Linked DNA regions of Schizosaccharomyces pombe. Each later gene encodes a partner of the first gene's protein in a complex. Each region holds a gene or a part of one and is shown in the gene's direction. Other genes may lie near its edges.

The links.
Region 2: the proteins of rpb7 (region 1) and rpb4 are in contact, whole or in part, in a crystal structure (PDB 3H0G), measured with the Schizosaccharomyces pombe proteins. Residues at the interface, in NP_001342741.1 of Schizosaccharomyces pombe: Phe3 (codon at 4,048), Phe4 (codon at 4,051), Leu5 (codon at 4,054), Lys6 (codon at 4,057), Leu32 (codon at 4,135), Glu36 (codon at 4,147), Gly37 (codon at 4,150), Gln42 (codon at 4,165), Tyr43 (codon at 4,168), Tyr45 (codon at 4,174), Ile47 (codon at 4,180), Cys48 (codon at 4,183), Val49 (codon at 4,186), Leu50 (codon at 4,189), Asp51 (codon at 4,192), Val78 (codon at 4,273), Arg81 (codon at 4,282), Phe83 (codon at 4,288), Arg84 (codon at 4,291), Gly85 (codon at 4,294), Glu86 (codon at 4,297), Val87 (codon at 4,300), Asp89 (codon at 4,306), Ala90 (codon at 4,309), Ile91 (codon at 4,312), Asn103 (codon at 4,348), Ile104 (codon at 4,351), Gly105 (codon at 4,354), Pro106 (codon at 4,357), Asn108 (codon at 4,363); in NP_595415.1 of Schizosaccharomyces pombe: Glu8 (codon at 1,764), Asp9 (codon at 1,767), Ala10 (codon at 1,770), Leu15 (codon at 1,785), Glu18 (codon at 1,794), Phe19 (codon at 1,835), Glu22 (codon at 1,844), Asp23 (codon at 1,847), Met24 (codon at 1,850), Leu25 (codon at 1,853), Ile34 (codon at 1,880), Val37 (codon at 1,889), Gln40 (codon at 1,898), Arg41 (codon at 1,901), Val54 (codon at 1,985), Met55 (codon at 1,988), Lys57 (codon at 1,994), Thr58 (codon at 1,997), Tyr61 (codon at 2,006), Phe62 (codon at 2,009), Val64 (codon at 2,015), Phe65 (codon at 2,018), Arg67 (codon at 2,024), Phe88 (codon at 2,161), Gln92 (codon at 2,173), Thr95 (codon at 2,182), Leu96 (codon at 2,185), Cys97 (codon at 2,188), Cys98 (codon at 2,191), Glu103 (codon at 2,206).

Annotation. Positions count from the first base shown.
Region 1 is NC_003424.3:2,898,247-2,905,029, forward strand, and holds rpb7 (DNA-directed RNA polymerase complex II subunit Rpb7), read left to right. Parts: upstream 1-3,837; 5' UTR 3,838-4,041; coding exon 4,042-4,515; exon of another isoform or gene 4,516-4,582; coding exon 4,583-4,627; 3' UTR 4,628-4,887; downstream 4,888-6,783. Other genes in the region: P-type calcium transport ATPase Cta4, read left to right, coding at 1-3,448; tcb3 (tricalbin), read right to left, coding at 5,123-6,783.
Region 2 is NC_003423.3:1,053,920-1,060,235, forward strand, and holds rpb4 (DNA-directed RNA polymerase II complex subunit Rpb4), read left to right. Parts: upstream 1-1,589; 5' UTR 1,590-1,742; coding exon 1,743-1,794; intron 1,795-1,832; coding exon 1,833-1,938; intron 1,939-1,983; coding exon 1,984-2,061; intron 2,062-2,135; coding exon 2,136-2,307; 3' UTR 2,308-2,583; downstream 2,584-6,316. Other genes in the region: Gtr1/RagA G protein Gtr1, read right to left, coding at 1-785; ubiquinone biosynthesis protein Coq7, read right to left, coding at 2,706-3,356; cho1 (putative phosphatidyl-N-methylethanolamine N-methyltransferase), read left to right, coding at 4,503-5,032, 5,088-5,148; pre-rRNA processing protein Esf1, read right to left, coding at 5,603-6,316. UniProt on the Schizosaccharomyces pombe protein: DNA-dependent RNA polymerase catalyzes the transcription of DNA into RNA using the four ribonucleoside triphosphates as substrates. Component of RNA polymerase II which synthesizes mRNA precursors and many functional non-coding RNAs.

The DNA of each region.
Region 1 (6,783 bases):
TATTCATGCATTATTCTGGCTAGCTGGTGAATGGAACACGAAGGTTTACTGTCTCATGACTTGTCGAAAAACTGACAAGGTCGAACAAGCTACTCATATCCTTGTTACTCCTAGTAAAATAGGAGAATCATCTAGTGTGGAGCCAATCACTAAGTTGGTTCTTCCTGACTCACAAACGATTCAGTACAGCTTCTCTTTTCAACGTAAACGGTTTATCTATGAACCAGAAAAAGGATGCTTCGCAAATATAACTTTTCCAATGGATGAACCTTCAACTATTGGGACTCTCAAAAAAAGTACAGGGCTTACCAATATTCAATCTGAAATATTTCTTTATCGTTATGGTAAAAATTGCTTCGATATACCTATTCCTACCTTTGGTACTTTATTCAAGGAGCACGCAGTTGCTCCATTTTTTGTCTTCCAAATTTTTTGCTGTGTTTTGTGGTGTCTTGATGACTACTGGTACTTTTCTCTTTTCTCAATGTTCATGATTATTGCTCTTGAATGTTCAGTAGTATGGCAACGTCAACGTACATTGACCGAATTTCGTACTATGAGCATTAAACCTTATGAAATTCAAGTTTATCGCAATAAGCATTGGTTCCCTATCTCTACCGAAGATTTGCTTCCAAATGATGTCGTATCTGTCCTTCACAATAAGGAAGACAGTGGGCTTCCATGTGATCTTCTTTTACTTTCAGGTTCTTGTGTAGTAAATGAGGCTATGCTTTCTGGAGAATCTACACCTCTGGTTAAGGAATCTATTGAGTTGCGCCCCGAAGAAGCTGTTATTGATGTCGATGAGCTTGACAAAAACGCTGTTTTGTTTGGAGGAACTAGGGTTCTTCAAGTAACTCAATCGCCGTTTTGCAAACTTAAGACTCCAGATAATGGTGTTCCTGCAATTGTTCTTCGTACCGGATTTGAAACAAGTCAGGGTTCTTTGGTACGTACCATGGTATTTTCTTCGGAAAAGGTCACTGCAAACAATCGAGAAAGTCTTTACTTTATTCTATTTTTGCTAGTGTTCGCTATTGCAGCCTCTGGATATGTTTGGCATGTCGGCAGTAAAACTGAGCGTAGCAGATACAAATTAATGCTCGATTGTGTTATGATTATTACTTCTGTTGTCCCTTCTGAACTCCCTATGGAGCTTTCTATGGCTGTCAATGCCTCATTAGGTGCTCTTTCTAAATATTATATTTATTGTACTGAGCCATTTCGTATACCACTCTCCGGTCATTTGGATATCTGTTGCTTTGATAAGACGGGTACCTTAACTGAAGAGCATATGGTTGTTCAAGGTATTGCTGGAGTTAATAGAAAGGATCCTTATAGTCTTGAAAAATTAAGCGATGCTTCTAACGATGCGATACTGGCAATTGCTACGGCACATACCTTAGTTTTGCTGGAACAAGAAGGTGAAACTCCCAAAGTCGTTGGTGACCCCATGGAAAAGGCTACGGTTGAAAACTTGGGTTGGTCTATTGAGAAAAAGAATTTTGTTTCAGCACCTGAAGGTTCTGTTTTTTATAAAGGTAAAGTTCAAATCATTCGAAACTTCCAATTTTCTTCAGCTTTAAAAAGACAGTCTTCTGTTTCCAACGTAAGAGTGTCTGGAGGAAGTTTTAAAACTTTTGTTTCGGTAAAAGGAGCCCCTGAAGTGATTGCTACTATGTTGCGGGAGGTCCCTAAGGATTATGAAAAAATTTATAAAGATTATGGTCGTAAAGGGTCTCGAGTACTCGCCCTAGGTTATAAATATTTTAAAAATTATATCCCTGAGAATCAAGTTTCTGATTTGAGCCGTGAATCTATTGAGTCTGACCTTGTATTTGCGGGATTCCTTATTTTTACTTCTCCTCTTAAAGAGGATGCTAGGCAAACTGTGCAAATGCTAAACAATTCTTCGCATCGTTGCATGATGATAACTGGTGACAATCCTCTGACCGCCGTATATGTAGCTGAACAAGTTGGTATTGTTGAAAAGCCAACCCTCGTATTGGATATTAAGCATGAGAATGAAAAGATTTTAGAGTGGAAGAGCACAGATGATACAATCAATTTACCCATGAATCCTCATAAATCGTTGGAAGCTTCGTTGTACGAAAAGTATGATCTTTGTATTACCGGTCGTGCTTTGTCTCAAATTATCAATCCGGACGTTATTATGTCAATTTTTACTCACGCTTGGGTTTATGCGCGTGTTTCTCCTTCTCAAAAAGAATTCATGATCTCAACTTTGAAACACAATGGATATATAACTCTTATGTGTGGTGATGGTACCAATGATGTGGGTGCTCTTAAACAAGCACACGTTGGTGTAGCTTTATTAAATGCTTCGGAAGAAGATATGCTTGAAATGCAAGAGAGAGCTCGTAATCAGAAGTTGATGGGCGTTTATGAAAAGCAAATTCAACTTGCTAAAAGATTTAATCTTCCAACTCCTCCTGTTCCACCTGCACTTTGCCATGCTTTCCCTCCTGGTCCTAACAACCCTCATCGTGAAAAGACTCAAGAAGGCTTAAATAAGGTCCTGGAAGATTTGGAAACTAAGAAAGCTAGTGATGTTCAATTAACGGAAGCTGAGAAAGCTGCTGAAAGACGGGCAAATCTGGCTAACAAGATGTTTGACACTTTAGCAAACGCTTCTGATGATGAGGCACCGAAACTTAAGCTAGGAGACGCTTCTGTTGCTGCACCATTTACTTCTAAATTAGCTGTAGTTTCTTCGATAACCAACATTGTGCGTCAAGGTCGTTGTACTTTAGTTGCCCTCGTTCAAATGCATAAGATTTTGGCTCTCAACTGTTTGATCACTGCTTACTCGTTGTCAGTACTTCATCTGGATGGAATTAAATTTGGTGATACTCAATACACTATTTCGGGAATGTTAATGTCTGTTTGTTTTTACTGTGTTTCACGGGCTCGTCCACTTGAAACTCTTTCAAAAGAAAGGCCTCAAGCTGGAATTTTTAACACTTACATAATTGGTTCTGTTTTAGGTCAGTTTGCTATTCATATCGTTACCCTTATCTATATAACTCGTGTCGTTTATCTGTATGAGGATCCTTTAGAAAAGGTGGATTTAGAAGAAACCTTCAAGCCTTCTTTGTTGAATACTGCCATTTATTTGCTTCAACTTATTCAACAAGTCTCAACGTTTGCTATCAATTATCAGGGCCGTCCTTTCCGTGAAGCTTTAAGTGAAAATAAAGGAATGTACTATGGCCTTTTGGGCATTGCCTTTGTCGCTATTGCTGGTGTAACTGAGTTTTCGCCTGAACTCAACGCAAAACTTCAGTTAGTTAAAATGGCTTATAATTTCCAGATACAACTGTTAGCCACAATGGTTGTAGATTACGCGGCTTGTTGGATTATTGAAGAGCTTATGAAAAAATACTTCCGTGACAACAAGCCGAAGGAAATTGTTCTTCGTAATTAAGAACAATTATATAAGTGGGTTACACCTACTTATCTGTACAAGCTTAGATAAATATTCATTTGAACAAACTGATGAGTAATTGCATTACTCACTGATGGGCAAGGATGTCAATTTTCTTCGGTCAGTATACAATATTTATCACCATTTTCAATTTGATTACTTGTTATGAATATTTTACATAGACTCAATGATTGATTCATTCTTGGCATATTTGATTTATTAATTTGGAATAGTGTAAGTGAGCTTTTTATAGGACGTAATAGATGCTTATTAGAGATAAAATAATATTCACTTGTTAAAATCCTTCTCAGTAGCAAGGTGAAAGGCATATAAAATTTGGGATATTTCTATAAGCGCTATCCCATGATACTGGGACTTCGTAAATCCTCGAACGCTCAGCATATATCAAGCAATTGCGAAAACCGCTGAAAAATTGGGATAATTTAATTTAATAAAAAGAGCTAAGCTCATTTAAAGTTTTTTTTTTTAATGTTCATCATTTTTGCCCTATTTTGAACCAAAATTTTACAGTTTTAATACGCATCGACCGATCGAGTTGAATTGGGGCTTTTCTGCATTAACTTATCGATACAATGCCTTTCTTCCTCAAAGAGCTTTCGTTAACGATTTCTCTGCATCCCAGTTACTTCGGTCCTAGAATGCAGGACTATTTAAAGGCAAAATTGTTGGCGGACGTGGAAGGCACATGCTCAGGTCAATATGGCTATATAATTTGCGTTTTGGACAGTAATACTATAGATATTGATAAAGGGAGGGTAGTTCCTGGGCAAGGGTTTGCCGAATTTGAGGTAAAGTATCGTGCAGTGTTATGGAGACCATTTCGTGGGGAAGTGGTCGATGCAATTGTTACAACAGTAAATAAAATGGGATTCTTCGCAAATATAGGACCATTAAATGTCTTTGTCTCATCTCATTTGGTGCCTCCAGATATGAAGTTTGACCCTACTGCAAACCCTCCTAATTATTCTGGTGAGGATCAAGTTATTGAAAAGGGGTCGAATGTCAGACTTAAGATTGTCGGTACAAGGACTGATGCAACCGAAATTGTAAGTTTCCCAATAGTTCACAATATTTATTTTGCTTAATTAATCGTGTTACTAACATAATATCTAGTTTGCCATTGCAACAATGAAAGAGGATTATCTAGGCGTTCTTTAAAAAGATAAAATTTTAATTTGTCTTTTATTTCTCATGTTCATTAATTCAATGCTAACCATCGCGTATACTGTTATTATTAAGTTCCTTTCTAGGTCTCAAAGTTTATTCATGTAGTTGTAAAAGCGCATACCAACGTTTATCGATCTAAATTTTGGCTCTATTCTGTGGTAATGTTATGGCTAAAAGCTGCGCAATATCTTTAAAAAAAAATTTTAACTTTATATACCCTTTACACAACAATAGAATTTCCCTAATTATTGTATATAATCGCAATATCAATCGACGATTTCCTTATGAATACAATCTTGGGCTAGCATTTTATCTATTAGGAGTGCATAAGTCTTTATCGTTCTTCGGTAAATAGAAAACCATGAAAATATTCAAATACCTTATAATCAAAGTATGCATTTAACATAATGATAATATATTACTCAAATAAGTCAGAATGCGAAAACCGAATTGTAATAAAGAACTAATAAATAACAGAATGGAAAGTCACTTTGCCTTCTCGTGATGAATTCCTTTAAAACCACGGCTTATTCCTTTTCGCATTTTGTTCGTAAGGTTAGCCACCGAGGCAACCCCATCAACAGCAACATTACCTACAGTACTAATGCCTTTAAGAGGCATACCAACAATCGAAGCAGTCTGTCCAAGAATTCCTTCGACAAGAGAAGAATTTCCGGCGCGTTTGGAACGAAGGACCCATTTTGGGCTCAGAGTTATACGAAGATAAAGAACTCCTTGTTTGCTATCCAAAGGAATTTCATAGTTAGTCTGTTGTTGCTGTTGAAGAAGCTTGCAGTCGATTACACAAGAGCCCAAATGATCGTCCTTGTTACCAAAATCCCAATCAAAAACATTAGCAACAAAATTACAGGTTTGCTTGCAAGGAAGTTCGACCTCGAAACTTTCATTAAAAGTAGGATTTAACGTCCGCTTGTGCGTTTTAGTCCGGTACACTTCTTCTCCTTGCAACTCGAAAACAACGAAAGGATCAGACTTTCCATTGGAATCTGCGGCAGGGAGATCCGTGGCTTTTATGACATCGACGGTCATTTCTCCCATATTTTCGTACATTTCAACTTCCTCAAGTTTCACAGGAACAGGAGTTAGCCTAAAAGCGACCAAAATCGAAGCACCATCAGGAAATGCAATTTCCAGAGGTTTAGTAGCGCCTTTACTAATTAAATCGCGACTCAGCATAGTTTTGCTACCAACCTCCTTATCACCATCTAGCAGCTTGAAAGTACATTGAGAATATTCAAGTTGTCTGATGAAAGTATTGCCGTACTCATGCAGGGTAGCACCACCGGTGACGTTTAAGGCAGATGATAAGAAAATATGATGAGGTAAATCGTCTAAAAATATAGCTAACTCTTGGGCTGGCTTAGCTATTTTATACGAAATTATGTCGAAACCCATGAAGCCAGATTCAAAGTCTAAAGCTGCATTTACAGCTTCAGACGGCATAAGCAGTTCTGAAATCTTCTTTGGTTTTGAGGTTTTAACAGACGTAGACCCTCGAGAAGTTGAAGTGTTGTCGACTGCTGTAGGCGTTTTTTGGCTTTCCGGAAGCACTTCGATATTTACTTTATCAGTTGCAACAGTTGATGAAGCTTTAGGAGCGGGTGTCACATCAGGGCTGAGCGAGGTTGTGACAGCGGATGGGAAAAAGTCACATTTGAAAGTTATTGTTGCATTACCCTTTATACCCCGGGTAGAGGACAAAGGTACAGTTAGTTCTCGAGGGTCATGGTATTCCATTAAAGCACCATTTTCGCCTTGATTGATAAAATTTGATATGTTGATAGGGGTCTGTCCAATGAGTTTGTCTTCACCAGATGAATTGTAATTCATCACTTGTAAAAAGAAGATGTCATGTTTGGTAATTACGGGTGCATACATGTATTCATCCCAAAACGGATTTACATTGCTAGCAATGACCACTGTCCTAAACTGTTTCGTATTGTGGGACATGATGCGTGCGTAAGAATCACATTTTTTACCAGGAATCTTAGAGTGCAAATTATTCGCCGAACGTAAATGGATACGAATTGCACCGATGGGAGTAGCAAGAGCCATCGAAGAAATACTGTCGTTATTTAACTGAGCAGGTTTCCACATAACAGACATACGTACTCTACCGGATGGAG
Region 2 (6,316 bases), on another chromosome or scaffold:
GGAACAATGAATGCAGAGAAATTACCACCACGAAGCTCAAAAGTAGTAAATTGAGCTTGCATTTTGCTACAACTGAGTTTAAATTGCTTAACAATATTGCTAATTTTTTCGAACCTGTGAGCATCAGTGGCAGGATTGGACTCAGAAGAATAAGAAGAAATAACCAAAAATGTTGTTCTTTCAAATAATATTACCTCAGCAGCCTCAGCAGCTTTGGCAAATTCCCGGAGATGCGATTCCAAAGTAGGCGTATTAGGAATCAAAGTATAGACAATAGCAGACCATGCTTTGAATAATGTTTCATCCCAAATAGAAGTAGCTAAACAAGTGGTTTCAAGATCCTTACTTGTTTCTAACAAAATTGCCTTACGTTCCTCAAAAACTAAATCACGTAGATCTTCCTGAACTAAATCCATCTTGTGTATTAAACAAAATACACGAGCTTGGGGACTATTGGCCACTGTTGCTTCTAGACAATTACGAAAAGTTACTAAATCTCTTTCAAATTCTCTTGACTCAACATCGAAAACATAGATAAGTACTTGAACGTTTCTGAATATGTGATCACGCTGGGCAGATAAATAGTTTTCCATGAACGCCTCCTGTCCACCGCAATCCCATAGGTTCAAAACTAAATTTCCCAAGAACCTTACATGCGAATGTTCAATATCAATTGTAGCACCTAGCCTTCTCGTGTCCTTGGCAACATAATTGCTAAAAACTATGCTTCTCATTGAACTTTTGCCGCTGCCACTGCGGCCCATTAACAGGACTTTTTTTCTCATTTTTTCTAGAATAACAGAACTATCTTGAGATTAAGGGTAAAGCAATTAGTTTATAAAATTCTACAAAACAGCTGTCACTGCAATTGTGAGTGAATTCGTGTTTTTATGCGTTCTTTTTTAAAATCACAAGCAAAGAAAAAGTAAAAAAATAAGAAAGGGAGAAATGTAGGTAAAGGAATGCGAAAAGATTCTATAATATCCCGCAGACAGAAAAGTTTAAGTTGATTAGTGGTACAACGACATGCACTTCAGTCGATTACATCGTAAAGTTACGAAGTCTGTTTTCCTTAACCTACATATTAAAAATCAAATTCAAAGTCAAATTGTGAGAATTAAAATTAAAATAAAAATAAATTTACAAATTTATAAAAAACAAACATATAAATCAAGAACGAATGGTTCATCTCAGAATTAAGCACAGTAAAAATAGAAATAACCCCTTTAAAAGAATGTAACGTATTTTCAAATGAATATAACGAAATTAGTAGAAGAATCCTCATATCTGAGGTTTTTAAGGCGCATTAACGTTTAGCTATACGAAGTCTCTAAAGCAAAGACTTGAGAATAATTTTAATAGAAAGCTCTTTGGTTTTAACGAGAAAATACTCCAAAACCCTGGCGTCGTTAAGCTAGACAAATGATTAAGAAATATCAATAAAATAAATTTTTCTTAGACATCTCCGTACATCTCGGTAAATTCATAATGTTATTAAGAACAATCGTTATTTAGTTTTAAGATAAATATAAAATATCGTTATTATTAGCAGCGGCTATAGAAATGCTGCAATCAAGGACGCGATTTTTAGACACGAAGCAACAGCAAGAAAGCTGGTTGTTGTGCATAAAGAGCATTCTGACATTATTTTTGGGAATACATTTGTATAATAGTTATTGATTTAATTAGATAAAAAGAAAAAACAACATTCTGAAGAGAGTGTTTGCGAGCATCTATTCATAATGCCGAGGGCTATTTTTGAGGAAGATGCTGCACAATTAAAACTTGGTCCAGGTTGGATTTGAATTTTATTCTGTTGCTAATATAAAAAGAGTTTGAGAATGAGGATATGTTGACGGTTTCAGAGGCCAAAATCCTTATTGAAACAGTTCTGGCACAACGAGCACGCGAAACTAATGGTGAGATTCCAATGACTGAGTATGTCTTATTGTATGCATATTCTTTTTTAATTAACTAGGATAGTGTGATGAAAAAAACAGTAGCTTACTTCAATGTTTTTGCTCGGTTTAAAACGGCTGAAGCCACTTATGCATGTGAAAGGTACATAATTTCAAAGAATTGAATAGAATTTTAGAGGAAAATAGCCGTATGCAAATATTTGACTAACCTCATAGAATTCTTGGTAATCGATTCCATAAATTTGAACGTGCACAATTGGGAACACTCTGCTGCGAAGACGCTGAAGAGGCTAGGACCTTGATTCCTAGTCTCGCGAATAAAATTGATGACCAAAATCTTCAAGGCATCTTGGATGAGCTTTCCACTTTGCGTAAATTTCAAGATTAATGCAATAAATAGATCTCAGGCAAGTCTGTTTATTGTCAATTATGAAAACTTAAAAGGTTTCCGGTCTTATAAACTATTAGCTATATCAGGATTTATAATACGACGTTTTTGTCATTATTATTCCATAATTTATGAGGGGTCATAAAACTTTTTTTAACAAAATCTATGTTTTTTTATGCACCATACACTTCTTAATTAGTCTATTAAAAAAATATAATACAAACACTGAATACACGCGAAAAGGAATTTAGATAAAATGTATTAATTAGATTAAGTAAGTTTTAACAAGGATCATACTATTGTGAAGCAAGAAAAACTAAACATTTTGAATCAAATGGGCGTTCTTTGCTTCATAAAGGACTAGCAAGTTGAGTTTGAGGCAGGAAAACTTGAAGTATTTAAAATCGTTTACACATCCAGATAGCCGCTTTGCAACCCATTTGAATGGCATTGGTAAGCAATGCATGAGCTGGAGCTTCCTTTGCGTTCCAACCTTCGACTGCAGTGTTCAAATGCTCTAGCTCGTCATCTCGAAACTCTGCCAAATGGCTACGAATCTCTTTAAATTCTGGAGCTTTATTTTCCAAATGAGCCGTTTCACGTAGTTGGTCGTTATAGTGTCCGCCAATTACCGTTTCTACTGCCTCTGTACAAGCCATAGCTGCTTTGGTTCCAAGCAAAGCAGTTCCTGCTCCCAACGCAAATCCAGCGATGTCCCAGAAAGGACGTAAAAAGGTAGGACGGACTCTATTCTTTAAGACATAATTATCAAATGTTGCGAGATGGTACTTTTCTTGATCCCACATATGCTGAATGGTAGGTGCGACTTTGGGATCGGTAAATTGAAGGATAAAGTGCTGACCTTTGTAAATTTGATTAGCGCCTAATTCACCTGCTTGATCGACACGAATGACGCTGTCCAAAATATTTGAGTCTTTCTCGCTCAGTTCTTTACGGCCCATCGAAATTCTACGGCATGTTATAGAGGAGCGAAGAAAAGGAGAAACCGACTTGGTAGCAATGGGTATTAACTGTCTACGTGACAACATCTTTTGTAATGGTAAAAAGGCCTGAAATTACACAGAGTTATCAATTTTCAAAACGAAATTTTACTAATCAACAATAAACCAATATTTCTAATTCACTAATAGATTGAAATATTCGACGAAAGAGACTATGATGTTGATTGGGTGTGGAGGATTAGAATGTGAAGTTCTCTACCAAACCGAACGTTTTAGGCGGAAATGCTTAGTTGAGTAACACGTTAGGCTTGAGGTGTATTTCATATCAATCTCTGAACAAATCTGCAAAATTCAAGCTAGATGGTTAAGTTAAGAAGGAATTAAATTTAAGTGATTTGATGTTCACTCTATTTTTATGGAATAAAATATTCGATAAACTTGTCGTTTATTCTTTTGCTTGATTAACGCAGTGAATACCAGTTGCTTCAACTTTATTTTTAAGTCAAAATGAAAAATACATACTTAGTTTTTAAACTAAGAGATTCAATAAACAGTGGCGTAATTTCAGGAAAGAAGCAATGTATCATTTTTTTCCTTAGCTAAATGGCTTTGCTACAGTTTCATAGTGTTCGTCAATCTTGACGGATATAGAAGTTCAATAATAAAATGCTTCTTATAAACAATAAAAAAAAAAAACATATTTAAGCTGCAGTTTTAAAGTAAACTCCAATTTCCTATCTTTTTTCCAACCAATTCAACTCAACATTGTATTTTCGCTTAAAAAACTTTAAATTAATTACTAGTTCAACCGAAGGGGAATCCGAAGATATACAAATTTCCAGTATTACTGATATAACAAGTACAAGTAGAGACTCAAAGACACCCCATCACAATTAATTTTTGACTTGCTTAATAATTCAAGAATGTAATTTGGCATTATGGATTAATTTTCTTTGTTATAGAAAAAAAGCTCCAGAACCACACCCACCTCCCCCATCGAAAATTTACAATTTGAAATATGCGAAATCAATCATTTCTTTCCTTTTTCTAATTTAATCTTTTAAACACAAATGAGTACTTATGTTTTTCAGGCCTTCTCTCATTATTTTATAAAATAGCAATATCGTTAAATTCCGTTGTATCAAAGACGTCGTTTGAATGAGCTTGATTCTTTACCCCAAACCAACTTCGTATTTATATCAACCTTTTATAAAAGCATATTTTTCGCTAAACATGGCCATTTTTGAAATCAATAATTCTTTTTTAATTTGTGCTGTATCTATTGCTTTGAACCCTCTGCTATGGAATATTGCTGCACGTTCAGAATACAATCATAAGACTTTGACCAAATTGGCAAATGGCGACTCTAAGAAGGCCTGTTACATGCTAGCAGCTTGTATTTTTGTTGCCGGAATAGTTCGTGACTTAATTTATCAGAATGCTTTAAAACAACAACCTACGCTAGGTATCTTCATGAACCCTCTTGTGCAGGGTATAGCTAAGCTCATTTTTTGTTTTGGCAGCGTCCTTGTCTTATCGAGTATGTATAAGCTAGGACTTGTTGGTACATATCTTGGTGATTACTTTGGATTTCTGCTTCCAGAGCGTGTTTCTGGTTTCCCATTTAATGTCAACGATAACCCAATGTACAACGGTTCTACTCTTTGTTTCCTTTCTACAGCTCTGCGTTATGGAAAAGTTGCTGGCCTCCTTTTAACTTTGGAAGTCTTTTTCGTTTATAGAATAGCTTTGAAATTTGAAGAGTAAGTTGCCAACTGTTTAAATTTTTAAATTTTTCTTTACTCTAACCATTAATAGACCTTTTACTGCTAAAATTTACGCTGCTCGTGATAGCAAGCAAGCTAAAAAATCCGAGTGAAGCAGCTGATTTGAAGTGGCCATAAGTTAAAGCTTCATTAGAGTTTTTTATAAAAAAAAAAAAAAAAGGAACAATTTTAAATGGAATGTTCTGTTCATGACTAGTCCTTACCTTTACTAACGCTCCTCCTTTAACCGATTTTGCCCTATGTACTTTGACGACTTCAACGTCTGTATAATTATGCATAGTTTAACGCTTTTTTTTTCAAATTATTTAAGTGTGTTGATCGCGGTCTCAACACCATGATCCGATATTTTTATATTCATACTTATGTAAAAAATAATCTAATATTTTACACCATGTAAATTAACGTGCTTTCATTCTAAAATCAAATAAAATTCAAAACAAATATATTAGCAAACCAAAAAAACCCCGTTTTGACCAATTTATATGTACAAAATCAAACTCTATAAATCCAATCGTTCAAGAGGAAAAACAGAGTACAATTTCTAATTTATTTTCCAGAACGTTTAATAGATTTGACAATGCGATCAAGTTCTTGACGTTGATCTCCTTTTTCAGCTTTACGCTTTTTGATTTTAAGCTCAGGCTTACCGTCTTGTGTTTGTTCCAATTGATTTGAGCGTCTTTTACGACTTTCGTCCATAATTTTTTCCACCGTTTTAGTACGTTTGAAATGAGGATTTGTTGGATCAAGTGCAAAATTATGGTTAGTATATAGAGCAGCAAAACGTGGGTCACTGACATCAGCTTCGAATCCTTCCTGCAAGCCTTCCAAATTGGAGGCTTTTTTCTTAAGCTTGCGATTCTTCTTAAACTTTTCAGCCTTCAGTATACTCTTCATGTCAAAATGATCGAGCTGCTCAGAATCGTTTTCATCTTCACGAACAAGGTTTTCCAGTTCTTCTTTAGACGCGGCCGTAGGATCTTCAATTTGAGTATGCTTGCCCTTTTTGTTTTTCTTATTGTTACGACTAGCATCCTTGTCCTTAAAGAATGGATCATCAAAACCAAGATCAACGTCGGATCCTTCACCTTCATCGTCTTTTGTTTTCTTAAGCTGTCTCAATTCTTTCCGTCTTTGTTTTCTTTCAGCGGCCTTACGCTTGTATTTTTCAATAGTGGTTTCATCTTTTTCCGAAGAGTTCGCATTGTTATCAACATCAAAACCTGAAGTAAAAGTAACCTCCATCTCACCATTGGCGCC